3 linked regions of the Elephas maximus indicus genome follow. The protein of the gene in region 3 interacts with the protein of the main gene of each other region in a pairwise test. Links are inferred from orthologs where the notes say so. Each region holds a gene or a part of one and is shown on either strand. Other genes may lie near its edges.

Evidence for each region.
Region 1: the proteins of LGALS8 (region 3) and APEH interact in binary tests that used the Homo sapiens proteins (3 or more experiments, as listed by UniProt). The two-hybrid records come from large-scale screens. The link is inferred for Elephas maximus indicus from reciprocal best matches to the Homo sapiens genes LGALS8 and APEH.
Region 2: the proteins of LGALS8 (region 3) and TAX1BP1 interact in binary tests that used the Homo sapiens proteins (3 or more experiments, as listed by UniProt). The link is inferred for Elephas maximus indicus from reciprocal best matches to the Homo sapiens genes LGALS8 and TAX1BP1.

What each region holds. Positions count from the first base shown.
Region 1 is NC_064838.1:54,090,117-54,100,039, forward strand, and holds the start of APEH (acylamino-acid-releasing enzyme), read left to right. Parts: upstream 1-5,929; 5' UTR 5,930-6,021; coding exon 6,022-6,033; intron 6,034-6,108; coding exon 6,109-6,241; intron 6,242-6,249; exon of another isoform or gene 6,250-6,346; coding exon of another isoform or gene 6,347-6,359; intron 6,360-6,794; coding exon 6,795-6,921; intron 6,922-7,353; coding exon 7,354-7,447; intron 7,448-7,546; coding exon 7,547-7,622; intron 7,623-7,711; coding exon 7,712-7,875; intron 7,876-8,038; coding exon 8,039-8,176; intron 8,177-8,272; coding exon 8,273-8,364; intron 8,365-8,441; coding exon 8,442-8,482; intron 8,483-8,563; coding exon 8,564-8,685; intron 8,686-9,298; coding exon 9,299-9,359; intron 9,360-9,923. UniProt on the Homo sapiens protein: This enzyme catalyzes the hydrolysis of the N-terminal peptide bond of an N-acetylated peptide to generate an N-acetylated amino acid and a peptide with a free N-terminus. It preferentially cleaves off Ac-Ala, Ac-Met and Ac-Ser.
Region 2 is NC_064826.1:88,872,722-88,882,989, reverse strand, and holds the start of TAX1BP1 (tax1-binding protein 1), read right to left. Parts: upstream 4,090-10,268; 5' UTR 3,983-4,089; intron 1-3,982.
Region 3 is NC_064842.1:27,838,519-27,847,859, reverse strand, and holds the start of LGALS8 (galectin-8), read left to right. Parts: upstream 1-4,800; 5' UTR 4,801-5,168; exon of another isoform or gene 5,169-5,285; intron 5,286-7,116; 5' UTR 7,117-7,214; coding exon 7,215-7,256; intron 7,257-9,341.

The sequences.
Region 1 (9,923 bases), on a different chromosome or scaffold from region 3:
GATTGTCTTTCTGGAGACCTTCCTCTCCTCAGGGCCCTCTCTGGAAACCCTGCCACCACCTGGTTGTCCTGCCAACCTTCCCACAGCCGCCTTTCTGCAGCCTGGCCAGCCAGGCTTCCAATGAGTTATACACAGAGTTTGGGCGCACACTGCCTGTTTCTGACAGACACTGCCCTCCCTCCACGACGCCAGAAGTTTTTCCACAGCCTTGGAGAGGGGCTTTGACTGAGGGCTGGGGGCCCTGGGCTCCGTTTCCTTCACATTCCAGCTGGCCCGGATCCCTCTGTGGCCACAGGGCACTGCTCCCTCACCCTGCCCTCTGGGTGACTGTGGGGGCAGACAGACCTCCATGTGGCCAGTGTGGGGTTGGGAGAACTTTACAAACATTAGGACCTAACACTGTCTCATTGCTGAAATAAGAGGCCATAGCACCGAAAAGCAGTGTGGGCGCTGGCTGAGGCTTTTCCTAGCCCATGGGTGGCAGTGTGCCACCATCTCAAAGCCATCCCCCCACCCCCAGCCATTGTGAGCATCCCGGCGGCACCATCATTGTCTTGACCAGCGGGCTCCTCGTCAGTACCCTGGGGATTTCTTTTGATTTCGAGAACAGCCTTAATCATTCCAGCTTGATTTACATGTATACCTCATAAACATTTTTCTTTTGTTTTTCTTTCTCCTCTTTCTTTATCTCTCTTTGCTCACCCCCTTGCCCCTCTCCTCCACCTCCACCTTGTGACTGATGGTTTGGTTTCCTCTCTGCTCTGCCCCTGCTAAGCACAGGGAGATACTGAGTTAGAAGCAATAGTGGGCAGCAGGCCACCAAGAGCACAACCCCAGGGCGAGGTCTAGGGAGGCCCCTTAGCCCGCCTCTGTTTACTGTGCAATTCTAGTCCTTCTTAAGCCATCACCAGTGGGCATGCTCAGAGCAGAGGGGCCAGGGCTTCTGCCAGCCAAGGGAAGGGCCCGGAGCCCTGTGTGCGGAAGCGTGGTGCCGTCCATCTACCTGGTGGGCTGGGCGAATTCCTCCCAAGGGCCCTTTCCCAGGGGGACTCCCTTCATCTTGGGGACAGCCACAAGTCTCTAATGTTCTATGCAATGAAATATAAACCCTCAAAGACAACTGTTAATATTTAATAAATTCCATGTTATGTATAAGGATTTAATTGCAAACATGCAATTGAGAAACTGGATGGATACGCTCATATCACTCCCCAGCCCCCACCCTGACTCCCACCGTGTGTGTGAAGTTCTCAGTCTGTGGCATGTTTGACCTGTGGCAGGACTTGCTGCTGCCAGGTGAGTCACCGCCTGTCCCACAGTGGAGCATGCACAGCTTGCAGCCTCTTTGCACGATTTCATCCATTTTAAATGCTTGACCCTCTTGCTTGGAGTTCTTTTTGCCTCAGAACTTTTCCTTCAGGAGTTATTCTAGCTAACTTCTGCACGAGCTAGTGAGGACCTGCTGGAATTGCTGCCTGAGCTTGCCAAGCTGTGAAGCAGGCAGTTCGAGGCCTCATACACCCCTGCAGGTCTCTCTGACCAAGAAGGGCAGGTGAGAAGGAATCTCTGGAGTTGGCACCCCAGCAGGAGCCCGCACAGGATGCATGTGTGTGAGTGTTCTAAAAGCGTGCTGTAGGATTTCTATCTGTATCTGGTTGCTCCTCCTGCCCCAGCCCTGAGCCAGGGGCATCTGGTTGTACCTTCACAGTGGGGCAGAGCTGGGCTGCATCTGCGGACAGAGGGGTGGCAGCCATGGGCAGGGCCTAGCTGTGTCCTAGGAACCCAGTTCCCGATTGCACCTGCACCGTGCCAATGCCCCTGAGGTTGGGAGGCTCAAAAATCTTTGAGCCAGGAGATCTGGGCTGGGGTCAAGGGGCCAAAGGGTGTTCAGGAAAAGCCGGGCCTTTGGTGATTGTTTCGAGGACAGCTGACAGTGTCATCTGGGACCAGAGCAGGTGAGCTGTTCACATACACAATGGCTTCAAGCTGAATTTCCTGGGAAGCATCTCAATGACAAAACTCACAGAAGGTCCTGTGTGACCCTCTCTGTATCAGTCCCTAGGACCTATCATCCCTGCCTACCCTATCTCTGAAGCTGTAGTGTTCCACTGCTTGTTAGATTCTCTGACACTGAGCCAGGAGTGCAGCAGGCAGTAGCTGCCTGACTCCTTGCAGCCTGGCCTTCCTCCAGAGTGCTCTGGTTTGCACCATGCATTTCTCAGGGGTCCATATTTCTCATGCTTTCCTATAAGGTCTACATGCCCCCTCAGAAAGGGATCCTGGCCTACTTCTGGCAGCTGTAGGTGGGTCCCAAGGCTGCCAACCTTGGTGGTGGACTGAGACCCTGGCCTCATGGGATTGGGCCTCATTCAACCATGGGGCGTTAGGCCTGGACCATCTGAAGCCAGCTGAGCAAGGGCTGAGGGGGACCACCATCGAGCATCTCTGAACACCCAAGTTCAGGTCTGTGTGGGGACATGCCTAGTGGGCTGGATACTTGGAGGACCAAGGCAGTAGCCCTTTATTTTAAAGGCCAGGGGATAAGATCAGGAGCAGGGAACAGCAGGCGAGATGGCAGCAGAGCAGCCTCCAGCATGCCAGGTCTCAGGCTCTGAAGTGTTGAGTTCTCAGCAAATTTCCTTCCTGGCCAAGCCCTCTGAGTTTGAAATTTCTGACATCTGTCACACTCCCACTCTCACCCTCCACTCTACTCACAGGACACGTTATTGCCCCTTTGTGAGGGTGGCTAGAGCAGGCCTCTGGGCCACGGGTATTCTGGCCCTTGTGTGGATACAGCTGTGGCTCCAGGGCCACTGCAGCCAGAGGCTGAGGGACCAGCATTTGGTGCCTGGGGCAGTGGGGAACAACAGGTGTATCTCCAAACGGGCAGGGGGTCTCTGGGATGTGGGCCAGGCTTTTGCCATACCCTCCCCAGCATCACAAGCAAGGGCATTTCTTCTGCCCACATCCAGGCCCAAGGTACTCACTTTACAGCCAGCCCCTGCCTCCAGCCCTTGGGCAAAGTGTGCGGTCTCAGCGCCACTATGAGAGGGCAGCAGAGGCAGCAACTATGGCCTATCTTCTGAAGCCTGTGGGGGATTTTTCCAGGTCTTTGCCATGGCAATACAGTCCTGCCCTGCTGGCCCCTCCCCTGCTCCCTTACCCACTGCCCCCTCATGCTGTAAATACTCATCAGCATAGACTTTGTCAGGGTCAGAGGGATAGGCTTAATCCACTGAAACTCCCTGGAGATGCCATCTCTGTCTCCCTGGGTACCAGCAGCCCTGCTGCCATGTGCACTGGGGTGGCATTGGAGAGCCATGGAAGTCATGAGACATTGTGTGTGCACGTGAACATGTGTGTGAGTGTGTGTGTGTGTGTGTGTGTGTGTGTCTGCCTCCTTTAGCCTCTGGGATCAAACCAGCTCCTTCTCTCCAAGTGCAGTGCCCGGAGAGTAGTGGCAGCCCAATGCCTTTCCCCTGCTAGCTTCCATGTCTTGTTTTTGCTTCCCCCTCCTTCCTCCCTGCCTCCCTTTCTTTCCTTCTCTCCTTTATTTGAGGGGGGAAGAGTGCTGTACAAAGTCAAACAAACAAGTTTACAGTTGTAAGTGCAATGACCCGAGTCCTTCACATGACCTTGTGAATTGTGTGCCGTCCTCCTGTGCTCTGTGAGAACTCGTGGTACTTCAGTGTCCCTCCCCCTGTATCGTGACATGGTAATTCTGTGGTATCAGAATAAAAGGACTTGATATAAACAACCTGCAGACTGTCTCCAGGGTGGTTTCTGAAATGGAAAGGCTTACTATTCTTAAGTGAGGGGGCTTTGAGACTGAGGAGAAAGTCCCCAAATTTGTGATAGTCCTGTCTGTTCAAGGCTAAAAGGAAAAGAGTGAAGGGCAAAGTTGCAGAAGTACCAGCTGCGTCCATACCAAACTGTCCAGACAGTGTGCCTCCATGAAGGCACCCAAGGAAGGTCCCAAGCTTGGACCTGCACAAGTCATTGCAGAACAATGCCTCCATTGCCTGTAGGTATCCAGGCTATTTCACACTGCTTCACAGGGCCAGGGCTTAGAGAGGCAGGTGAGTAGGTGCTGCCCCCTGGTGCTGCCAACAAGCTCTACACCTGTCTTCCCTCCAGTTCTGGCTCTGCCCACTCCAACCCTCAGACTCTAAGTCCAGACCTAAGTCCATCCCCAGACAGACGGGCGTACCTCCTTACCAGAGTTGCTAAAAAAATTTTTAAGTGCACACAAGCAAAAAGAATACCAGCCTCACCTCAGGCCCACCCCCCTCAGCTCATATTTTAATTCCTGTCCTTCCTTTCCTGTTTGTATTCCTATTTCATTTTTAAGAAGCAGCAGGAAGGTGCAGCCCCCATTTGTTTCTAGATGCTTATTCCAGGTACTTTACATGTTCATCCTTAAATCCCCAGACTCCAGAGAGATGCACAGTGAGCTTATAGGCAGTCCACTGCATACACTCTGAGGGACAGGCACCATGTTCCCGGTTTTCCTATTCTGAACAGAACTGTGATGAACATCCCAGTTTCCAACCTTTCCGCCCAGGTTGGTGGCCCAGGCCACTTTTTCTGCTCCCAGGTCCTGGTCTTTTGGGGACACAGCCCTGCCCACTTTGGGTGCTTATAAATGCAAGTGACCTCAGAAAGTGGGGACTGTTTTTACTTAGCCAATCCAATGTGGTTGATGAGGAAGGGGAAACCGAAGGCCAGGCGAGTGAGAGCTCAGTCAAAGGCAAGGTGTGGCACAGGTAATGCAGAGGCGTGGAAGGCCAGCCAGGCTTCGAGGAGATGGAGAGTACATTCCTGCTAGCCTGACTGCTGCCTGGCCTCTGCTGGGGCTTTTCCCAGACCTCCACTGTCCCAGTAGCCCACTCAATCCTGCACCATGTTCAGGACTTCTTGGCCTTCCCAGGCTCTTCTTTCCACAGTAAGCTCCCTGGTTCTTGATGCCGTTTGTCCTTACGAGGTCCTATGTATCCAAGAGCCTGGACTGAGGCCTGGGGAGGCAGGCAAAGCTCCACTCGCTCACCATCCCAGCGAGGCACCACTGAGAGGGGCAGGTGAGGGCTGCGGGAACAGATAGCTCTTGGGGCAGGCCTGGTGGCCGATAAACCCAGGCGACATCGGGAAAACTTGGCAACCGCCCCTCTTTCCCTTGCACCCTGGGCTCTGCTCTTCGAGCCCCGCCCAGAGCTGACGAGCGCCCTCCTCTCCCCGTCTGCCTGGGAGCCGCGCCCAGAAAATGCTTGCCAGACCCAGGAGCCGCGGGAGACCCATCCTGGGGCGGGCCTTGGCCCGCCCCGCCCCGTGGCCCCGCCCCTCCACCAATCGGTGTCGTTGATGGCCTTCCTCACAGCCCGCAGTTCCCGCCCCACCCCGTCCCCGGCCCCGCCCCTCACCCTGAAGCGTTCTTCGATGGCTGCCCTCACAGACCTCAGCTTCTGCCCCTCATGCTCAAAGATTCATTGGTCCGCATTCCTTTGCACCCAGCCCTTTGGCTGCGCAGAGTCACTGCCGGTCCGACCTCGCTTCTTTCGCCTCACAGCCTTGTCCTAAGGGCTCAGCGCCTGCTCGCGTAGGCCCTCTCACGTAGGCCCTTTCACTCTTCACAGATCTGTCCCTTCCTGGCCCGCCCCCATGTTCTCCTTCCTCAGGGCCAACCCCTCTCCTCGGAAGTCCCACACACTCCCCTCCCAGTAACAGGCCTGGGACCCGGCCCACAAATCCCGCCTCTCACCAGCCTGATCCTCCCCTAAAAGGGCCCGCTTCTTTCCTCGCTGTCCCCGCCCGCTCCCCTCCAGCTCTCCTGACTCACCCCGCTTCCTTAGCATAAAGGCCTCGCCCCTCGGTCAACGGTCCACGCCCTTTGGCTGAAGGCCCCGCCCTCCCAGGTCGCCGCCGAGGTCTGTGGCGGAAACTGGCTGCGCCCCAGGCTCCGCCCCTCTAAGTCGCACTTCCGGGTGCCTGCGCTCCCCGCCTGTCCCGGGCGGCCAAGTAGCAATTATGGAGCGGCAGGTGAGGGCTCGGCCCGCGGTCCCCGTGGTCCCCGCAGCCCGGACCGGGCCTGACCCTGGTGTGTCCCCTGCGCAGGTGCTGCTGAACGAGCCCGAAGAGGCGGCGGCGCTGTACCGGGGCCTTAGCCGCCAGCCCGCGCTGAGCGCCGCCTGCCTGGGCCCGGAGGTCACCACGCAGTACGGGGGCCTCTACCGGACGGTGCACACTGGTGTGTGTGTGGAGGGGAATCAGGGTGGCGGGCCCACTCCAGCACCGTGCACTGGGTTGGAGAGAACGGGAATGTGGAGGGCTGGCTACCTGAAGGTGTACACGGATGTCGGAGGAAGGTGGGGTTTGGGGGGGTGTGGGGATGGAGGAGTGTAGAAATAGGAAGGTATTACTGGTCTGTGTACACAGGTGTATGGGGAGTGTGTACTGAGCCGATATTAGATGGGGCCCATGAATGCATGGGGTGAGGCCACTAGAGTGTGCACAAGGGTTGTGGAGTAGAACTCTGACCTGGGTGTAGGGTGTGGGCCTTGTAGGGCCCTCCACCCTCCCATACACATGGGGCATGGGTGCACCTGGAGCCTCCATCTGGGGCAGCCAGGCTACCCTCAGGATCCAGGGTGGGTTCTGGGGGCAGTAGAGGGTTCTCTCCAAGAGAGGCCTGCACCCAGGGTATGTGGAGACAGATGAGGGGATGTGGAGCTGGGCTTTCCTGGGTGAGGGGCTGTGGAAGGGACTGTCCAGGTTGGGCAGCGTCAGGCCTCCCCTTGCAGAATGGACCCAGAGGGACCTTGAACGTATGGAGAACATCCGATTCTGCCGTCAGTATCTGGTGTTCCACGACGGGGACTCAGTGGTGTTTGCAGGGCCTGCAGGCAGCAGCGTGGAGACCCGGGGGGAGTAAGTGCAAGGGAGGAAGCTTGTGGACAAGGCCACAGCCATCTGCAAGCCTTTTGTGAATGCCCACCATGTGCCCCAGTACAGGCAAGGTGTTGAAGAGAGGCCAGGAGCCAGGTTCATGCCCCTGGGGAGTTCATTTGGCCTCTGGTGACATGGCCTGATAAGCACTGGAGGCTTGCTCCAAACCCCTAGCTGGTCTAGAGCCTACGGGTGTGGGAGAGGCCGGAGTGGGTAGAGCCCCTGCCCCAGGGAGGAGAGGCAAGGCCAGCTGCCATGGTGGGGCTGGGCCAGGGGGCGGGGGGGTTGTGTGCAGGGGCTGGTGTGAGGCCAAAGCTTCAAGAATCTTGTCTAAGAGCTTGTGGCTAGTGAGGGGCCTGGGCAGGGCTGTTGGTGGGTGGGAGACAATCCCAACCTGATGCCCCATGTTCTCAGACTGCTGAGCAGAGAATCTCCATCAGGTGCCATGAAAGCTGTGCTGCGTAAGGCTGGAGGCACAAGCCCTGGGGAAGAGAAGCAGTTCCTGGAAGTGAGTCTGCATGGTGCCAGGGGGCGGGCGGCTGGGGGCTCAGCCCCACAGATAAGGCTCTGTTGGAGGTGGGGCAGCCTGACGCCCAAATATTCTCAGGTCTGGGAGAAGAACCGGAAGCTTAAGAGCTTCAACTTGTCAGCACTGGAGAAACATGGGCCCGTGTACGAGGATGGTGAGGCATCTGGTTGGTGAGCAGGCCAGGTAGGCAGGAGGGGCAGCCAGAGCCCTGGGCTCCCCCTGATTGGCCCTTCGTACACCCAGACTGCTTTGGCTGCCTGTCCTGGTCGCACTCGGAGACACACTTATTGTATGTGGCAGAGAAGAAGCGCCCCAAGACTGAGTCCTTCTTTCAGAGCAAAGCCTTGGACGTCAGTGCCAGTGATGATGAAATGGCTAGGCTGAAGAAGCCAGACCAGGCCATCAAGGTGCTCATGGCCGTGGCCAGTCCCTGCAGGCCCTGCAGTGCAGCCCCGGGGCTCAGTGTGCTCCCTGCCCAAACCACCTGTCAGAACAGGGGATGCACTGGCTTCTGCAGGCAGGGCAGGGCCTTGCAGACAGGCCTGGCCACTAAGTATCTCGTATTCTCAGGGGGATCAGTTTGTGTTTTATGAAGACTGGGGAGAAAACATGGTTTCCAAAAGCACCCCTGTGCTCTGTGTGCTGGATGTTGAGAGTGGCAACATCTCTGTGCTTGAGGGGGTTCCTGAAAATGTGTCCCCTGGACAGGTCAGTGCCAACTTGGTCCACGTCACTCCTGGAGCCTGGGGGCCCTACCTGAGCTACTCCCCCTTGCTCACACCTGTCCTGTGGTCTTGTTTACAGGCATTCTGGGCTCCTGGAGACACAGGTGTAGTGTTCGTGGGCTGGTGGCATGAGCCCTTCCGACTGGGTGTCCGCTTCTGCACCAATCGCAGGTGAGAAAGTGGGGCAGGGCAGGGGGCCCTGCAGCCCAGGCTGGTCTTGAAGCTGAGTATCTCTCTGGCGGTTCCAGGTCAGCCTTGTACTATGTGGACCTCGCTGAGGGGAAGTGTGGTAAGTGAGTGGTGCCCGCGTGTGCTTTCCTGACGCACTCTGGCCTTGCCAGCCCATCGATACTGTTTCCATCTGGCCCAGAACTCCTCTCGGATGACTCCCTGGCTGTCTCTTCTCCCCGGCTGAGCCCAGACCAGTGTCGCATTGTCTACCTTAAGTACCCATCTCTGGTCCCCCATCATCAGTGTAGCCAGCTGTGCCTGGTAAGCTGGAGTTTGGGGTCGGGGGTGGGCATTGGACAGCAAGAGGAGAGGATGGAGGATGAGAGCTGAAGGGCCAGCATCATCTCCACATGGGCCCCACTGGATGCCCTCCTGTCCTGGTGCATGTCGATGTGAGTTCCGCCTGCGCTCTCCGGGTAGGGGCTAGGGGCTGAGAGCATTGGCATGGGGAATTTGCACCATCAGGGCTCACCACCTCGAGACCATCTTCTGTTTGTAGAAATGCCCCTCCCATTGATTTCTCATCTGCACATGACCAGGCTGTGTGCAAGGGGTTGGGATATAGTGGGGAGTTACTGACACACGGGAGTTGCAATAATCAGCTCAATGGCAGTGGCTGGTATAGAGTCCCAGTCCCCTGCCCAAGAAAAGCTCCAGGTCCCTGGTGAAAGTCAGAGGTATCTGCCTAGCTGAGCCCCTCTGGGCATCTTGTCCAGGTCACCAGAACGGAGGTGCATCAGATTCGGTTCACTCAAGTATCAGGTCCTCCCCTTCTTCCCCTGAGACTACCAGAGATGGGGACTGATGGCAGAGCTCTGTGCCCTGAGGGCAGTACCCATCCTCTGGTGTCCCTGACCATTGTACTCTCTCGCAGTATGACTGGTACACCAAGGTCACTTCGGTGGTGGTGGACATCGTGCCTCGGCAGCTGGGAGGTAAGGGGTACGTGGTTGGATGGGGGCAGTGGAGCCCGTGGCTCTGTATTTCCCTCCCATCTGTTTCTTCCCTGTTCCGGGCCAGTGCCCCAGCTGTTCCATCCTGGGATCTTTCCGAGGTTCCTCCCTCCCTTTTGGGCCAACTCCATGTCCAGCCTCCACAGGGAGTGGGGTCATCACCACAGGGAACAGTTCCTATGGAAGGGAGTTGGCTGGACCAAAGCTGAGATCAGAGGGATCCAAGCTGCTGGAGATTTGGATGATTTCATTCCTGTGCTGGAACTCATGTTAGATTTTTCTGGTTTTTCCAGTGGTTGGTTAAAGCCATGGCCCATTTAATGAATCTCAGAAGGCCACTAGGTTGGAGTGTCCTCCTCGACAAGTTCTGGGCCTAAGGGCACCGCATTGCCTTTCCCACCCCAGCAGCCTTTGTTCAGGCCAAGTTCCTGGTCAGCAGGGTCTCTGGGAGGGTGGCTCTTGGCCAACAGGCTTCAGCTGCGGTGTTAGGTGCTCACAGCTCTGTCTGGGGCCCTGAACCATCCCAAGAATGAGGATCTCTTGTTT
Region 2 (10,268 bases), on a different chromosome or scaffold from region 3:
TGGACATTCCATAAATAAACTGTCAAAATAGTGAACCTGGAAGTCAATGTGGTACAACACGAGGCCAGTTGTCTCTGTTAGCCTCTCCCCACTGAGGTTTGCCAGGATGCAATACTCCTTAACCTCTGCCCACTAACAAAGGGGCTTTATTATCAATAACCCTATTTCACAGAAGAGCTTAATTGTTAATCCTCCCCACCTGGTAACCTGAAGCCTTCAGGAAAGCAACAACACTTGGCAAAGAAATGAGGAACTGTGCTTGAAATAACTGAAGAGTTTTGTTTCTTTGAGTTGTCTCTGCTAATCTGGGCTCAAGGAGATGTCACGATACTTAGGAAGTCATTAATGATAATCTCCTTTCAAGTCAGTGGTTTAACAAGGAAGAAAAAAAAGCCATGCACTCCAGTTCTTTTTAAAAAATGTTCATTATTAGTTACAAGATACCAATGATATTGTAGCTAAATCAGTTGAACCAACTTCTATTAGTACTATCTTAGAAGTACAGCCACAATGCTCCATAGAAGCAAGGATGAGAGACTATGTCTCTCATACTGTGGATCTGTTATCAGGAGCCATCAGTTCCTGGAGGTAGATATCATGCTTGGTAAAGCACTGGGTCAGCAGAAAAATAAAAGACCCTCTGCGAGATGGACTGACACAGTGGCTGCAACAATGGGCTCAAGCATAACAACGATTTTGAGGATGGCATTTTTTTTACAGGGCCAGGCAGTGTTTCGTTCTGTTGTACACAGGTAACTATGAGTAGGAACCAACTTAACAGCATGTAACAACAATCCCCCTTCAGCAATCCAATCTTTTTATAAAGTTCAATGAGACCATAATTATGTATTTTACAAAAGTTTTTCCACTCTCATTACTTTGGTTTTTTCTTTTCATTAAGTTCCAAGATAGCTTCTAGTCATAAAAATGTTAACATAGATGAATGCAATCTGAATATAATTACCCATTTTAAATAGTGAAATAAAAAGTCTAATCCCCCACAGTTCCTCTGATTCACTCTTCCCACAGATAAGGAGTGAAGAGATGGGAAAGCTTATAAAAAAGTTGAAATACACTGAGAATGCCAAGATATCAAGAAAATTCACACGCAGATTTAAACACTACCTACAGGCACGCACACAAACACAGGGCCCGGTGAAAAAGTAATGTGCAAAGTCACTGCATCACCTTGTGGTAATGATTGGGAAGTGTAGCTGAGAAAAAAACTACAAACTGCCTCAGTTGGAAAGGAAACACAGCCCTACACACAAAGGGAAATGGAAGCAGCTTTACCATAACAAATTTTGCTTTCCACCCTCTAAAGTACATCTCTAGAAACATGGGTATATTAAGCCAAGGATAAGTAAAAATTTTCCTGCCAAGAATTAAAGAGACAGATACATTTGACTAGGAAACAAATTCTGAAATGCATACACATGCTGGCTGCAGTACCTCATCTCTTCCAGGTTTTCAACTATATTCCTTAAAGTCCTAATACCACTAGAATTCCTTTATGTGTGTTATACTGTAGACTACATATAAAGTTTTTGGTCTAATATCCAATTTTGTTATTTTGGGAATTCATCAGTGGCTAAAGAAAAGATAAATAACATCCAGTGGGCACTGGGTTAAGTATCTAAAAAAAAAAATTTAGCTACAATAAATTTGGGCTACCCAAGGACTCTCTGGGGGGGGGTAAAAAAAAGGCATTTCAAGGTTATCTTTACTCCCTCCTCTTGCAACTTTTTCAAGCCTCAAATAAATCTGGCTTTTGCGGTATCTTTCAATGGCTCCTGGTATTCATTTTACTTGACTAATCCAAAAATATGAACCTTAGTCAACTGAAGTAGAAAAAAGACCCACTGAGTACTTCTGTGGAGAAAACATACAGAACTGAACTAAGCTTTTTAATTTAGATAATAATCTACCAGCTCTAACAGAATTCAGAAGGAAATAAGGTAACTTTGTTAAGGGTAATAATGTGATTATGGTGGTGTTTTTTAAAGTATCAGAAATGCTAAACTAATTATAAGTGAAATACTGATGTCTTAAATTTGCTTTAAAAATTACAGTGGGATAAATAACTGTGTTAGAAGAGAACAAAGATAATAAACCAAGATTAGCAAAATATTGCTTCATTTTACCATCTCTACAAGCGTTACTAAAAGCAAATAAATAAAGCAGATTAGTACTAAAAACTCCATGTATGATGTACTACCATAGAAACAGTGCATTCTAGACCACGAATGTTTTGTGTGCTCTGAGTGTCGTAATTCAGATAACCACCAACAAAGTTAGTGTAAGTTTAAAAAATCTTGGATTAAAAAAAATACGAACCCTTGGAGTCCTTGGGTGGCACAAATAGCTAAGCAATGGGACTACTAGCCAAAAGGTTGGTGGTTTGAACCCATCCAGAGGCACCTGGGAAGACAGGCCTGGCGATCTGCTTCAAAAAGTCACACCCTTGAAAATCTATTGAGCATTTCTCTACATACACGGGGTCGTCATGTGTCAGAATCGACCAGATGGCAACTAACAACAACAACAAAATTATGAACTCTTAAAATTACCTCCAAATTCAGTCCTTATGGGGCATACAAACATCTGAAGGATAAAAAAAATTTTTTGACGTTTTGAAAGTTTCTGATTATTCATGCTTTAGCTCAAAGACTATCAACTGGTTTACAGACCTCTAAACGACAACAAAAAAACCTAAACCCGCTGCCTCGCGTAATTCCGACTCATAGCAACCCCAATTCTACACAAATTGCGGCAGCCATAGTTGTAAACAGTGTAAGAATGTGATGACTAGAAAATTAAAACTACAACAGAATGTTCTTTGAAGTCTGACGATCACATTGCCAAAAAAAAAAAAAAGTAAGTCATTTCTAGAGTAAAAAAAAAAAAATCCTTCAAGGAATCAAATCCACCCCAAGAACAGAACGATAAAGTCTGGCCTCAGCTCTTTATACCGAAAAACCACTTTGAAGGCAATGAGCCCTCTTTTACAACCGCAAGGTGTAATACTTTATTTACCAATAAAGTGACACAAAACGCCGCCAACACCACCGCCCCCCTACCTCCAGTCCACTCCCCCACCCCTCCTCCACCCCACCCCCAGATAAGCTCTGTAAGCTCTAATCCTAGGCCAGGGAAACTCCTGAGAGAGACTGCAAGAGCTCCTGTCTGGACACGTTCACTACCTGCGGGGGGAGGCGGAGGAAGGAGGGGTGAAATCAAGAAACTTTTGACTAAGCCAAGAAAAACGTGACTCTTCTCGGAAAATTAAAAAAATTAAAAAATCCCTGTGAGTACTAAGGGGAGGGGCTATTTCTAAACACCTCACAAAAATCAGTTTCTTGATTCTGCAGCCCAGGTAAATAAACAAGGTCGTACCTGAGCGGCTAACTCCGCCGGCGGCCCTAAAATGTGGGCGGCGCAAGGAGTCTCCGCCTCCTCACCCACCCGGCGACTCGACCCAAACAGCTCGCTTTTCCTCCGCAGAGGCGAGGCCGAGCCTCCTTTCCGGGCTCCACCTAGATGTCTTCCCCAGCTTGCCGTCGCCAGGAGCGCACACGCTGCCCTCACAACAGTCACCCTAGCGTTCTGACAAGATTTTTTTTCCTCCTCCGGGCTGAGTCACACGCGTCGCTCGCCCCCCGCCCAAGGGTCCACGTCCCACACGCCTCCGCAAAATCTCTAAGGCCTGTTCCGTGTGGAGCGGCCACTTATGGCTTTTCCAGCTCCACAGCTAACCGAAACTGCTCCACTTCCCGTCACAATAGCAGTCCGGCAGGAATGGTTTCTCCTCGGGAAGAAAAGCATAGTCATTTGCCAGCATCGTCACCACGGAGAATATTCCCCGGACCGGCCAGGGCCCTAGACTCCGGGGACTGAGGGACGTATCACGGTCCCCAAGAAGAGCTCCCACTGGGGCCCGCCCCGCCAAGGGCGCTGGAGCAGACCTGGGAAGGCGCCTTACCCAGTGAGGGGCTCCCGGCCAACGGGGGAGCGTCAGAAAGGCTTCCGATCCCGAGACGCCATCAACTGCCGAACTCCTTCCGAGACCTCCCCTCAGGGCCGGGAGCCAGCGTCGCGTCACTTCCGCCCATAGGGCTGTCCCTTCCGCCGCCGCCGCCGCTTGGGGCTCCGCGACTCCCCACCTGCCCCAAAGTAGGCGATTCAAAGCCTGCGGCCCAGGTAACTGCGCGCATTTCTCCGGCCCGCTGCTTTTTCCCCTTTCTTTCTACCTGGCAATTTTCACTCAGACACCTAGTTCCAGCAAAACAGGCCCTGTTCGTTTGGATTTGTTTTTTTTTTTTTTAATTGTTATTTTGACCTACAAAATGGGGAAACACACGGAAAAGTTAAGTAACTTAACCAGTGCGATAAAAGGTAGCGAAGTGATGGGAGGATAGAGAGAGTTGGAAGCTGGCAGAATTGTCACGAAAGGAGAGACTGGAAGGACTGACTCATTAGGGGGAGAGCAAGTGGGAGTACGGAGTAAGGTGTATATAAACTTATATGTGACAGTCTGACTTGATTTGTAAACGTTCACTTGAAGCTCAATAAAAGTTAAAAAAAAAAAAAAAAAGGTAGCGAAGTAGCACATGGACAATTACCATGCCACTGCCTGGATCTTAAAAATCTGTCTAAACTAATCCACTCATCTTATAGATAAGGAAATAGAACCAAAGGAAGGAGCCCTGGTGGCGCAGTGGTTAAGCGCTTGACTGCTAACCGAAAGGTCAGTGGTTCCAACCCACCAGCCGCTCCACAGGAGAAAAAAGACCTGGCCATCTGCTCCCGTAAAGATTTACAGCCTCATAAACCCTATGGGCAGTTCTGCTCTGTCGCATAGGATTGACTATGAGTAGGAATTGACTCCGCCGCAATGGATTTGGATTTTGTATGAGTTGGAATGGACTAGCTGCACACAGCAGAAGCGAAGGGAGCGACCACAAGGATAGGGCTACAACTTCTAAAATCCAACGCTCTCTCCTAACTCCTAGTCAGTCTTGTCCCTTTTTAACTACGATCACTGTAAATCCTCAGTTTCTCTGAGAAGCTCTTCTGTTCTAATAATGTTCTGTGATTCTATTTGGTCTCACTCCAGAACTGGTTTCTTCACAATCGCATTTCTGTGAATTGTTACCTGTATTATTTTAAGGTTGGGGTTGTTACTTTGCGGGTGCGAATGTTGCCCTTCGTTTTCTGTTGAATTGCAATTTCATTTATCACTTTTGACTATTATATATGTTCCCTTACTATAATAGCCTATAAAAACTATACTATAAAAACCCCGGTGGCATAGTGGTTTAGAGCTATGACTGCTAACCAAAAGGTCGGCAGTTCAAATCCACCAGGCGCTCCTTGGAAACCTTGTGGGGCAGTTCTACTCTGTCCTGTAGGGTCACTATGAGTCGGAATTGACTCGATGGCACCGGGTTTGGTTTTTTTGTTTGTTTGTTTAAATGGGACAATACTGTAGTTCAGCATGGGTTGAAAATTAGAACCAAGTTCAAATAGGCGTGATAAAGAAATGTCATTGCAGGTTTTAAAAACCAGGCAAAATGAGTTGTCTCACCCTTTAGAACACTGGTTTTCCTTAGTGTTTGTATTAAGGTTTTCTTTTGACTACTAGCCAAAAAATTGGTGATTTGAACCCACCCAGAGGTACTGCAGAAGACAGTCCTGGCAACCTGCTTCTGAAAGGTCATAGTCTTGAAAACCCTATAGGGCGGTTCCACTCTGCACGCATGAGTCAGAACGGACTGGAGGGCAACTAACCACAACAACATAACTTTGTTTAGGAAATAGAGCTGTTAAAGATGGGATTTGAATAATGGTGGGCTTTGGCTAGTGAAAGAAAAGAGAGGACTCAGAACACTCTACAATAAGGTGGTTTATTTTCTCATACCCGATGTGTTAGGAGATGGCATTGATGTACTCCTTCCTCCTTATTGCTTCCTGACTATTATTCTCCCACATATTTATAAAAAAAAACTTTGCTCCTTTGAGGTGCACATCACTCAGCTACGCCACCCTCTCTCCTCCTTGTTGTTTGCTGATCTCCAAGTCACTCTTCCTCTTTCACTGAATATTATCACCTATTCCCCAGACTTGGTTTCCATTCTAAGCCCTTCAGTGTCTACGTGGATGAGAGTTCCAACATCTTGGCTTATTTTTTTTAATATATTTATTTTGTTTTTGTTGTTGAGAATATACACAACAAAACATACACCGATTCAACAGTTTCTACATGTACCATTTAGTGACACTGATTACATTCTTCAAGTTGAGGAACCATTCTCACTTTCCTTTTCTGAGTTGTTTCTCCCCTTTTAACATAAATTCACTGTCCCCTAAGGTTCCTATCTCATCTTTCAAGTTGCTGTTGTCAAATTGATCCCATATACATAGTTCTTAAAAGAGCATAATGCCCAAGGCAGGCATTTTTTACTAATTAAGCTAAACTGTTGTAGGGTTGTAAGAAGACTTGAGGGAATGTTTTTGGTTTATGGCTTAAAGATTACCTCAGAGCAATAGTTTCAGGGGTTCATCCAACCTTCATGGCTCCAGGAAGTCTGGAGTCCATCAGAATCGAAATTCTGTTTTGTGTTTTCCCCGTTTTGATCAAAATGTTAGGTAATGGTAACTAGGCACCATCCAGTTCTTCTGGTCTCATGGCAAAGGAGACAGTTGTTCATGGAGGCTATTAGCCTCACATTCCATACCCTCCTACTGTTGCTGACTCCTCCTCTTCCCCTGTTGTTCCAGGAGAATAGAGACCAGTTGTTGCACCTTGAATGGCTTCTAGCAAGCTTTTAAGACCCTGGGCACTATGAAACAAACTAGGAGGTAGAATAGAGGCAGTAAACATGTTATTAGACCAATTAACTGGGGTGTCCCATGAAACCATGACCCTAAACCTCCAAACCAAGAAACCAAATCCCATGAGGTGTTTTGTTGTACATACTCCACCTCAGCAGCTACTCTATTTTTTATCCTTGTTGTAAATATCTTACACAACTTTTGACAATGCAACTTTTTACAGGTGTACAACTTATTGACAGCAATTACGGTAATGGCTGTGCAACTCTACCCTTAACTCTGTATTTCCATCACTGTTAACACCCTCTTCTCCCCCTCTCCGGACCCTGGTAACCACTAATAAACTTTGTTCTCTATATATTTGTGTTTTCTTGTCATTTTATGTAACTGAGGTCATAAAATATTTGCTCTTTTTTGATTGACTTATTTCACTCAGCATATTGTCTTCCAGCTCCATTCATATTGTAGTGTGTATCAAGACTTCATTTCTCCTACTGGCTGAGTAGTATTCCAGTGTATGTATGTACAGTACCCCATTTTGTTTATCCATTCAGCTGTTGCTGGGCATTTAGAATGTGCCCACCTTTTGGCTATTATGAATAGTGCTGCAATGAACATTGGTGTACAAGTCCCTGTTTGAGTCCCTGCTTTCAAGTCTTTTGGCTATATACCTAGGAGTGGAATTGCTGGATCATATAGTTGTTGTACTTTTAGAGAAACTGCCATACTACTTTCCACAACGGCTGTACCATTTTGCATTCCCACCAGCAATGGGTAAGGGTTCCAATTTCCCCACATCCTCACCAACATTTGTTGTTTTCTGTTTGTTTTTGTATTTGTCTTTTAATCTTAAGCCATAGGAGTGAAGTGGTATCTCACTGTGGTTTTGATTTGCTTCTCTCTGATGGCTAATGACATTGAGCATCTTTTCATGTGTTTGGTGGCCATTTTAATGCCCTCTTTGGTGAGATGTCTGTTCAGGTCCTTTGCCCACTTGATGATTGGCTTGTTTGTCTTTTTGTTGTTAAGTTGTGGAAGTTTTATTTGTATTTTGGTTGTTAGGTTCTTGTTGGAGGTATGATTTCCAAAGATATTCTCACAGTTGGTAGGTTGTCTTTTTACTTTTTTGGTAAAGGCTTTTGATGAACAAAAGTTTTTAGTTTTTATGACGTCCCATTTATTTTGTCTTTTGCTGTTTGTGCTTTTGTTATTGTATTAGATAATCCATTGTTAAAAGCTAGGCCTGACAGCATTGCCCTGCTGGTTCTTCTAAGAATTATATGGTTTTAGTTGGCACATTTAGTTCCTTAATCCATTTTGAATTTGTTTTTGTGTATGGCACGAGGCATGGATCCTGTTTCATTTTTCTGCATGCGGAAATCCAATTTTCCCAGCACCCTTGTCAAAAGTCAGTTGACCATGGATGTGTGTGTTTGTTTCTGGGCTCTCAGTTCTATTCCATTGGTCTGTATGTCTAATGTTATACCAGTACCAGGCTGTTTTGATTACTATAGCTTTTAAAATCAAGAAGTGTGAGTCCTCCTGCTTTGTTCTTCTCTTTCAACTTTACTTTGACTCTTCAGGCCTCTTGCCATTCCATATAAAGTTGAGAATTGATTTTTCCATTTCTGTAAAGAAGGCTGCTGGAATTTTGATCAGGATTGCATTGAATCTATAGATTGCTTTGGGTAGTATTGAAATCTTAACAACATTAAGTCTTCCGATCCATGAACATGGAAGATCTTTCCATTTATTTAAATTTTCTTTTATCTCTTTCAGCAGTGTTTTATAGTTTTAATTATATAAGTTCTTCACATCCCTGTTTAGATTTATTCCTAGGTATTTTATTCTCTTAGACACTATTGTAGATGGAATTGTTTCCCTAATTTCCTTCACCTTGGCCTTTTAATGTCTTCAATCCCTCATCTCCTCCCCTCTACTCCAGACACCTATTTCCATGATGGCCTGGGATGAATTGTGTCCTCCAAAAATTCATGTCCACCTAGAACCTCAGAATGTGACCTTATTTGAAAACAGGGTCTTTAAAGGTGTAATTAGTTAAGATGAGGTCATACTGGATTAGGGTGCATCCTAAATCCAATGACTGGTGTCTTTATAAGAAAAAGGAGAGAGAGATTCAGACATAGATGCAGAAACACATAGAGAAGAAAGCCATGTGCAACCAGAGAGAAAGATTGGAGCAATACACTTCCAAGCTAAGGAATGCAAAGGCTTGCCAAAGACACAAGAAGCCAGAAAGAGGCAAGGAAGGATTCTTCCCTAGAACCTTCAGAGGGAATATGGCCCTGCTGGTACCTTGATTTCAGACTTGCAGCCTCCAGAACTGTTTGTGGTATTTTGCTAAAGTAGGTCTAGGGAACTAATACATAAGGTCATAGATTAGACCTTGTTATCACCCATAACTGCTCCATCTTCAAAATGAAGCATCCTGCTCTTAGACAACACCTCCTATTCAACTAATTTGCTTATTCAACTATGCTAACTATAGATATTTTTCAAACTCATCAGGGTGTCTAATCCATTAAGGTTTCTCCTTTTGATACTTCCCTCATCATCCAGCATAGAGTCTGTGGATTATCATTTCATTTACATTATTTCCAATACCCTAAACTCTCTTGACTTTCTATCTTGCAGATTAAGTGCAATTTCCTGTAACAAACATATGTCGCAGCTTCTGTAGTCATCATGTATTTTACCACTTAAAAGTTGTGTCTGGAAATATTAAACAAAAATTTTTAAGTTACAGTTGACCCTCTTGGGGAGTTTCTGGCAGTATTGAAGAGAGAAACTATAAATTATGATATTAAGAAATAGCCTGCAAAAGTTTATATTTAATAAGACCTTTGCCCCACCTGGCCCCTAACAGTGTTCTTTGTACCTCACACAACTCAGAAGTCACTGTAACATAAATATTGTCTAAACCTTTCTTCCCTATCTTACTGAGAAGAGTAATAGCCAACACAGTACTTTGAATTCTCAAAGGATTAGTGTCTACAAGGTTCTTTCCTCTCCGTATTTCCCATTAAATACCTTTATTTTTTAGTCGTTTGCATATAAATAGCACTTGTAATTAATAAAAATTATTAAATGTTATTAAAAGGTAGCCCTGGTGGTGCAGTAGTGAAGAGCTCAGCTACTAACCAAAAGTTCGGCAATTCAAATCCACCAGCCACTCCTTGGAAAACCTATGGGACAGTTCTACTCTGTCATATAAGGTTGCTATGAGTCAGAATCAACTCCACAGCAACGGCTTTGGTGGGGTTCTTTTGGTTATTAAAAGAAACTTTTAAAGTTAAAAAAAATTTTTTAACTGTGGTAAAATATATATAACACAAGATTTGCCACTTTAGCCACTTTTAAGTGTCAAATTAAGTGGCATTAAATGTATTAACGATGTTGTACAACATCACCAC
Region 3 (9,341 bases):
AAAGAAGAGGTTGACTGCTCATGGGTGGTGCTAGGGTTAGGGTCTGGGAGAGATTAGTTCAAAGCAAGGAGATTCAAAGAGGAAATGAGCCTGTTTAGAGTGGCGAGGATAGTCAGAAGAGGTAGGTGACAACAACCACGAAATTTTTCCCTGGGAAGTAGACTTATATGTAAGAAATGAGTGTTGTGGTTCTGTTAAGGATACATTCCCAAAGCTTCTGCATAATTTAAAACATGCATAATTCAAGACTAATTTTCTTACGGGAATAAATGGAAAGCAGGAGTATATGTTCTCCAGAGCTCATAAGTTCTCTAACTATTGTAGCAAAGTTTTGCTTTAATACTGCTCTTTATTTATCATTATTACTACTAAAGGGTCCAGAGTTTTGGTTCCTAAATTCACAGCATGATATATCAAGGCAGTTGTTTTAAGTTCTTGATAATGTTTTATCACGTCTAACTTGTATTCCAGAATTATTGATTTTGGGGCATATTTCCCCAGCACTAGCATCATCATTTAATGAATGCCTGAATGACATTGTTCTAGGGCCATTTAAAAAAAAAAAATCACAACAGCAAAAATAACATAGCAACACAATAAGTAAAATCACTGACGGAAGTGCCTTAGTTTGAAACAACCTAGTTCAGGGCACTGACAAAAGATTAGAAGAATTTCTGTTTCATTAGTTAGTGCTGCCAAGTAGCAAGAGCATATATATAGTTCATAACTCATAAGTCTGAAGTCATTATTTTACTATTTTTTAAAAATCTGGGCAATATATTATTTCACATTTTGCCTACAACATGTAATATTTTTATATAACACTATTTCTAACTCTGTAGCCAACTATACTACATAAATGTGGCCTCTTGGGTAAGAGAGAGGAAGATAAAGACAGATGAAAGAGAAATTATTTTGAACTGATACATCTCTTATTCCTGTGTTTTTGGGGGAAAGTCATCTCAGGAACTGCTCCTAAAGCCATTCTCTTTCTCCTGTGTCATTTCTGTGTCCTCCTCTACTGAATCATTCACATGAATAATGTCAGTAGTGTGCCCGTAAGTGTTTAACATTTGGCTCTCTTGGAAAAAAAAAGCCCTAAATTGCAGCAGTTGCTTATTTCCGTGGTGTAAATACTCCTACCCTGTCCAATCTCAAGGAACCAACGTGATATCAGCAAACACAGAGTTTAGAAGAGATGTGCACAGCTGGCTCTCAGAAGTTGGCATGAACCAGCTCCAACACACCACTGAAAGTGTTTTCAAACGTCTAGTCATGACCCATTAGTGGGTCTTGAAGACATTTTAGTGCGTTGTAAGCAGCATTTTAAAAAATGAAAAGTAGAGTGCTTTATGCATAATAAGTACTATTTTGTGAAATTTTTGTTTCAGTAATTTTAAGCATGCATGTAACAAATCACAACAGTAAATGTAGTTCTTATTGTGGAGCACTTGGGAAAAAGTCTGAAAGCTACAGCTGTAGCATCTGCTCTCTTTAAAACCAAAACAAAGATACACACACACACAAAACACAAGAAAAACAAATTCTTCCCTTTGCCCCGCTGCCTCCTCAGCTATGACGCTGTTGCTCTGTTCCTCTGCACAGCAAACTTCTTGAAATATATATAACTATCTCCACAACTTCCTCACCTCACAGTTTTCAACACACTTCAGAGTCAGAATCACCAATGATCTTCCTGTTGCTAAATTCCCTGATACGCCTGTGTTCCTTGATCTCTCAGGAGCATTTGACACAACTGGCTGCTCCTTCTTTTTCAAACACTTTCTGTGGCTTCTATGACCCCACTCTTAGGGGTTTTTCATCCTGCCTCCATGGGTGCCCCTTGTCAGTCTCTTCATTGGCTCTCTCCTTGATTTATCTCCCCAGGACTCCATCCTATGTCCTCTTCTCTCCATCTATCTACTCTCCTAGGTGACCTCAGCACATCTCATGACTTCATATCATTTTCCCCTCAGCTTCAGCCATACTGGTGGCCTGTCTGTTCCCCGAACACAGTAGATATATTCTCAAGAATCTTAGGGACTTCACATTAGCTGTTATCTCAGCCTGGAAGATCTTCATATGACCACCTCCTTTCTTTTGTTTACTAGCAGCTTAAACACCACCTCCTCAGAGAGGTTTTCCCTGGCACCCAACTGAAGTAGCCACCCAGGTGCTCCCTATTACATCGTTCTCTTTTAATCTTCTCCAAAACAAATCACTATTGGATGTGTGTTTGTTATGTCTCCCCTGCTGGAATGTAAGCTCCATTGAAGCAAGAAGAGTCAAAACTCCCCACCCTCATGGAGCTTACAGTCTGGTGGATGAAGACAAATCAAAAAGGTGAATTATATAGGATGTTAGAATATAACAAGTGCCACAGAGAAAAATAAGGTAAGGAAAATAGGGAATGAGTGTTTTGGGGGAGAGGGGTGTTTACAATTTTAAATACGGTGATCAGGAACGGCCTCGCTGAGGATTGATATTTCATGAAGACCTGCAGGAGGCAAAGGAAACATAAAATGCAAAGGTGCTGAGGTGGGAGTATGGCAGGCATGTTCTAAGAATAGCAAGGAGGCAGGTGTGGTTGCAGAATAAGACAGGAAGAAAACACTAGGAATGAAGTCACAGTGTGCAAGGGTGATGCTCAGAACATGAAGAAGTACTCTTGGAAGGATTGGATCTCTTCTTCAAGGATGAGCAAAAGCCAGTGAATATGTGTTGTCATGATCTCTCTGGCTGCTCTGTTGAGAACAGATGACAAAGGGGGAGGGGCAAAAGCAGAGACTAATTAGGAGGCTATTGCACTTGTTCAAGTAAGAGATATGAGACTTCCATATCTTTCTCTTCTCTCCATTTAGAAGAGACCCACAGAGCAAGTACTACAAAGCCCTTTGCATACTTGTATAATCACTCTGCTTTGTCACAGTGAGCATTCAGTACATATTTGTTGATTTTAAATGATATAAAAAAACACACTGGGCTCATTGAACAAAGCAGTGATCAATGAGGGGTATTTCTAGGAACAAATTCTCAGGATTCCTGGAAATTTTAATCCAGAATTATTTTGTGAACACTGAGCTTTTGGCCCTTTTACTCAATCCCATTTGCAACTAATTACCACTTACCAAAGAAATAAAGCGTTGATTTCAATTTACTTTGACTTCGTAAAAGTATTAGACCCAGGCAAAATAGTGAAGATTTAATCGCTCCTCACTTTATCAATAAATATTCAGTTAAATCATATGAAAGTACCATTTTTGAAGAACAAAAAGCTTGAATATCAACAGTTTTGTAGTTCAATCTGGAAACCCTGGTGGCGTAGTGGTTAAGTGCTACGGTTGCTAACCAAGAGGTTGGCAGTTCAAATCTGCCAGGCGCTCCTTGGAAACTCTGTGGGGCAGTTCTACTCTGTCCTATAGGGTTGCCATGAGTCGGAATCCACTCAACAGCATTGGGTTTGGTTTTCTTTGGTTATAGTCCAATCTAATATTCACAGTGTCTACTTCACGCAAAGCATTACACTAGTCATTGAGGAATGTGTAAGACAAGTTCCTTTTCTCCACTTACACTAGAGTTGGACAGATAAAATATGCACAGAAAGATAAATTCAAGGCAGTGTATGTCAAATGTTAAACACAGTTATTTAAGTTGGATCTTGAAAAGTCAATCAAACTTGGAAAATGGAAACAAAGGGGAGAGAAAAATAGTTGTGACTTAGAACTTGAATTTGCTAGTGCGGGATTTGTACTGAATTCCTAAATTAAAAAAAAAAAAAAAGCAAGAGAGAAGAAAGTGCATGGGTGCCACCAAAACATGTCTTTCAAAACGAATGTGGATAAAAGTAGATACAAGTAGGAAGATGAGGACTTTGTGGTCCCTGATAGAAAACTGAAAGCTGCCAACCAACTCTTCAAAGTATAAAGTCATTAAAAGTAGCCTACATAACTTTATTTGTATTCCTGATGTTTTTACAGCCCAACAGGTTCATCAGTCATGTGGGCCCTACTGAGAAATAATTTTGGTCAGGTATTTATTGAGGTAGGAGGCCCAGTGGTGCAATGGTTAAGCGACTGGCTGCTAAGTGAAAGTTCTGAGTGGAGCAAACGGCCTCCACTTGACTACTAACCTACAGATTCGTGGTTCAAACTCACCCAGTGACGCTGCGTAAGCCAGACCTGGCAATTTGTTTCCTAAAGATTTCTGCCTAGAAAACACCATGGAGCAGTTCTACTCTGTAGCACATGGGGTCGCCATGAGTCAGAACAGAGTTTGGTTTGATATACATACTTGGAATTGGGCTCTATACGGCTTACATTGTTCCACAGGGAAGTGTACGACTTATTTAAAAAAGAACAGCACACAAAGTAATTGGCAAATAATCCACAGTGGCTGGAAGTACAATAAAGATAACCATCTAGGTGGGGGCTTTGGGCTTGACACACAGGCTGGCTGCACTCAACCTATTTCTTCACCATGTGCCCTACATCCAAGGGTGTGTACCCGGAAAGAGAGGCGCGCCTCCACAGCGAGTTATCTTTTATGGCACTGCCTAGGCTCTGATCCAACGCTTGTGAGGAAGCAATCTTTAAAAAACACCTGACACTGACCCCGTCGCCCTGGCGACCTCGGAAGGCCAGAGAGGAGGACACGTGGGGGCCCCTCTCTGCTGTCGCTGGTCAAGGCCAATGCCGTGCGACCTGGGCACCAGCCCTGAGCGGCCCCGGCCCTAAGCGCCCCCTTCCTAGGCTCGGCGTCTGGAAACAGCAGGGTGGGCGGGAACGAACTTCCCTTGCGACGACAGCGCCGGGGCAGTCAGGTCTGCCCGGGAATTTTCTCCGCACACACGTTTATCCTCATCCGTCTTGTTGGTCCCGCAGCGAGCCGGCCCCGGTCCAAGTCCCCGGCGGCTGCGCAGAAGGCAGGGTGCCGGTCAGCAGCCCCGGCTGGCGTTCCCGGAGGCCAGCGCCGGCCACGCGGACGCCCGTGCACGCAGACGCCAGGCCGACGGCGGCGCCCCGGCGCGGGAACGGGAAGTGGAGGCGGACTGATCCCTTTCACTTCCCGTAGGCGCCCGGCACGCCGGGAGCGATCGGAACCTGGACGACGCCCGCGGCCAGACCAGCCCCGCTCCCCTCTGCGGGAGCGCCTAGGACGCGGGTCCCGGGGTGAGTCGGCGGCGGCTGGGCCCCTCGGGCGGCAGCAGTCGCCACAGACGGGACCGCTCGGGCTGGACGTGCCAGCCTGGGAGGGGACGCGGACGTCGCTCTTCCTACATCAGTTTGGTGGGTGCGACAGTGTCAGGTCTCCCGGTCTCCCCGGTCCTCTCGGGGCCGAGTCGGGCATGGGTCGCCGGGGGAGGGGGCTGCCTCTGCGAGCGAGGCGCTCCTGGGGTTGAGAAGTGCCTGGGAGTCGTCCGTTTGCCGTCCCGGACAGTCCTGCCTGGCACCGGGCTGTTGGCATCGGTGGCGCGCCTCGCGGCCACCCTACTTCTTCCCACTCGTGCTTTCTGCTCACCTCTTCCCAGGATTGTTTTCTCCCAGCCCGAAAGCAACGGGCCACCTCCCCACGGAGACATCGGGAAGTTTTCATCCCGGTATTTTTAATGACAGTTCCTTTAAAATGTAATGACAGACCTACATTGTTTTCCCTGACTTTAAACACACACTTCAAGATGCCGAGTCATTTTGCTGCAATAACAAACAACGAAACGGGAACTCGTTTGAATTCCTTCCATCATCGGTAAAGCATAAATGATGGCTTTCTTATGAAGTGAACAGAAATGTAAATAGCGGCAGGACCCGTTGATCGGGGAGTGATTGGTTTAATGCAAATTTTAGGGTTTTTTTTTTATGAGTCGGAACAACTCGACGGCAGGGGGTTTGAGTTTTTTTGTTTGCTTTGATGGCTTAAATTGCTCTGGTCACTACTTGAAGTATCGATTTGGCTATAATAAGGCAACTCTGTATTCATTCCGTTTGCTCTTGTTTGTGCTTTCTGAATTTTACAGAGCAGAACGGTTTGAGGTTTTGACTGACATTTTAAGTTAACGACACAGATTGGGGTCCATTAGGTGGGAAACCAAGACGGATGCAGTTTTCTTCTTTACAGAGACAGAGCAATAGATTTGGCCAGTAGGACAGATTGTACAGTATAATGGCAGACTTCTTGGAAGTAGAATGTAGAAAACCTTAGTTTTATTTCCTCTTTAGGTCTGCTTAAAGTCCTCAAGTCTCCCCTGGAGCTATAAAATGTAGTACCAGTGGATGTTATCTTTAAAAATGCCTTATGTTCCCTCTTCTCCTCTTCCCACCCTTTTCTTTAGCAACAGCCAAAAAATGTATCTTAGTAGCATTCAAGGGATTGGGATTTTTTTTTTTTTTTACCTTGACTTGAATAATTTGGTGGAGGGAGAATAATTCTTTCTATTAATAATAATAATAGCTAACGCTTGTATAGCATTTACTATTCCACTGTTTTACAAACTCATTTAATCCTCAAAACAAATCTGTGAGGAGAATACTATTATTATTCCCATTTCACAGACCAGAAAAGAGAAGTTAAATGAATACCTCTGATAATGGTATATGACTGTTTGGTTAGTATTTGCTATTGTTTTCATTTGAGTCCCTGGTTGATGCGAATGGTTAAGTACTGGGCTACTAACTGAAAGGTTGCCATTTTAACCCACCCAGGGCCATCTTGGAAAAAAATCACCCTGCCTGGTGATCTGCATCTGAAAGGTCACACTTCATGAAAACCCTGTGGAGGGCAGTTGTTCTACTCTGACACACATGGGGTTGCCCTGAGCCAGAATCGATAAATGGAAAGGAAAAAAAAAAAAAAGGAATTAGTTTAGTATTTTTTTACAATACATTCCATGTTAGAAATTTTCTATTGATTTATTTTTAAATCAGTATTTGCTCCACTCATATTCCAAGATTATTTAGTATGTAAGTACACCAGATAAGAATTGGGGTAAGATCTTTGATTTTAATAGTGTCTTGTTATATGGTAAATATCAGTAACATAACTTACAATTTAAATTAAAAAAGCAATTATGAAGAAAAATTATGCATGCTTATTTTTCTTTCTCTCTATTTTGATATTACCCAGGGAAAGTACCTCAATCTGGGAAGCCTTAAATGAAACTTATTTAAAATCACAGATCATATACCAAAGAGAGACCCCAGTCAACAATAAGGTGGAAAAGAATGATGTCCTTAAACAGTCTGCAAAATGTCATCTATAAGCCGGTAACTGACTTTCATAAAATCACTTTTTACCTGTGGCAGGCATGAGAGCAAATCGAATTGAATAGTAATTATCCGTAGTGGGCACGAGGGGCAAGGATAAAACTCAGTAAACATGTATGAAGTGCCTACTATGCAATAGGGACTATGGTGGGTGCTGAGTAAAAAATGGATGTGGCTCTTGTGCTAGTCTAATGGAGGAAAAGGACACAATTACAGTAAAAGGCGATGGGCCTCATGAACAGAGTGTGTGGGAGTACAGTGGCGGAGAGGCCAACCTTGGAAAGGGAGTGGGAGTGGGAAAGAAGAGGTTCAGATTACCTTCAGATAACCGTAAAACAATTTCCAAAGGAAGGTGATTTCTTTCTTTACAGAGTTGTCATTTTTCTTCTTAATTAGAACTTACCATTAGATGTTAATATGTCAGCTTTTCCATTGCCATTCACTGCTTGGTATTTGACCAGGCAGTGTCAAAAGCTAGAAGTGGGATGGAGAATGAGAAGAACTGGGGTCTCGTCAAGGTCTCAGGCTGCTCCAAGAACTCTTCAGTGACTGTAGTTGCTGGATATTTCAGTGTGTGCCCTGGGCAGTAAATAACTTGTTTTATGTGGTGATGAGAATCTTTAGAAACGTCTAGTTTCTATTATCTGATGCTAAGTCCTGAGTAGAGTTCTGAGATAAGGCAGCTGCTTTTTTGGGAAAACCCCATAGAGACTCCTGGGCAACAGGAATGGTTAGAACCCTTGAAGTAAGGCCCTAAACCAGTCTTGTGAGTAGGGTAAGGGCCAGGGGGTTAATCTTTTTTGTTTCTTACTTTGTAGCTCTAATTCTTTTTTCCCTAAATGTTAATGTCATTGTACAAGGGTAAGGTTCAAGCATTGTAACAGGCAAAATCAATGTTAAAAGAAATCCTCTTCAATGGTAATAAGTTAAAAAAGGAAGACTTAATGAATTTGAAGTCAGTGAGACAGTTAAAATGGATTTAATGCATCTTAGAGTTAAAAACATCTCAAGGTTGTAGACTGAATTTCTTCAAATATTTAAATTCAAAAAAAGAAAGAGGGCTGCCTGTCAGGAGGGTGAATGTATGGTAGAATTACGCTGGTCAGTTCTGCCCTTCATGTACAAAGACACCTTATTTGAATATTATTTAGAAAACGATTTTATGTATTAAAATCCCTGTATCTTGGTACTAGCATACTGCTGGTTCTTGTAATTTCTGCAGTTAGCCCCCTAACTGTAGAGTTGAAACAAAAATGAACAGACTTTCATTTCCTGATGAAGGAGGTCTGGAGAAGTAGTATGGCTTTAGAGCAGTAGATAACAGGGCTTCCAACCGGTTCATTCCAGTTTGAACCCCTGCTGAGAATTTGCATTTCTAACAAGTTCCTGGGAAGTTCTACATAAAAATCACCTGAAGATCTTGTAAAAATGTAGATTATGATTCAGTATATCTGCGGTAAAAATGCAGCATCTCAGCAGGGAACTTGTTAGGAATGTAAATTATCAGCAGGAGTTCGAATCCAGCGAACCAGTTTGAAGCCCTGGTGGATACATTTAGGCTCCAAATGGACTCCTTGCTGTTCATGATAACAAGTTGGGTTTTTTTTGCCCCTAAATTTTATTTATTGTTGTTGTTGAGAATATACACAGCAAAACACACACCAGTTCAATCATTTCCATATGTACAATTTAATGATATTAATTATATTATTCAAGTTCTGCAACCGTTCTCACCCTCTTTTTCTGAGTTGTTCCTCCCCCATTAACATAAACTTACTGCCTGCTAAGGTTCCTATTTAATCTTTCAAGTTGCCTTATCACTTTGATCCCAGTAGATCTTAAAAGAGCATAATGCTCAAGGCAGGCCTTTACTAGTCGAGCTAAACTATTACTTGGTTTTAAGATGACATCAGGGGATATTTTTGGTTTAGGGTTTAAAAATTATTTCAGGGCAGTAGCCTCAGGGGTTCATCTACCCTCCATGGCTCCAGAAAGTCTAGAGTCCAGGAGAATTTGAAATTCTGTTCTGCCTTTTCCCCCTCATGATAACAAGTTTCTAAAGTAAATATTTTTGGCAGATAGCAT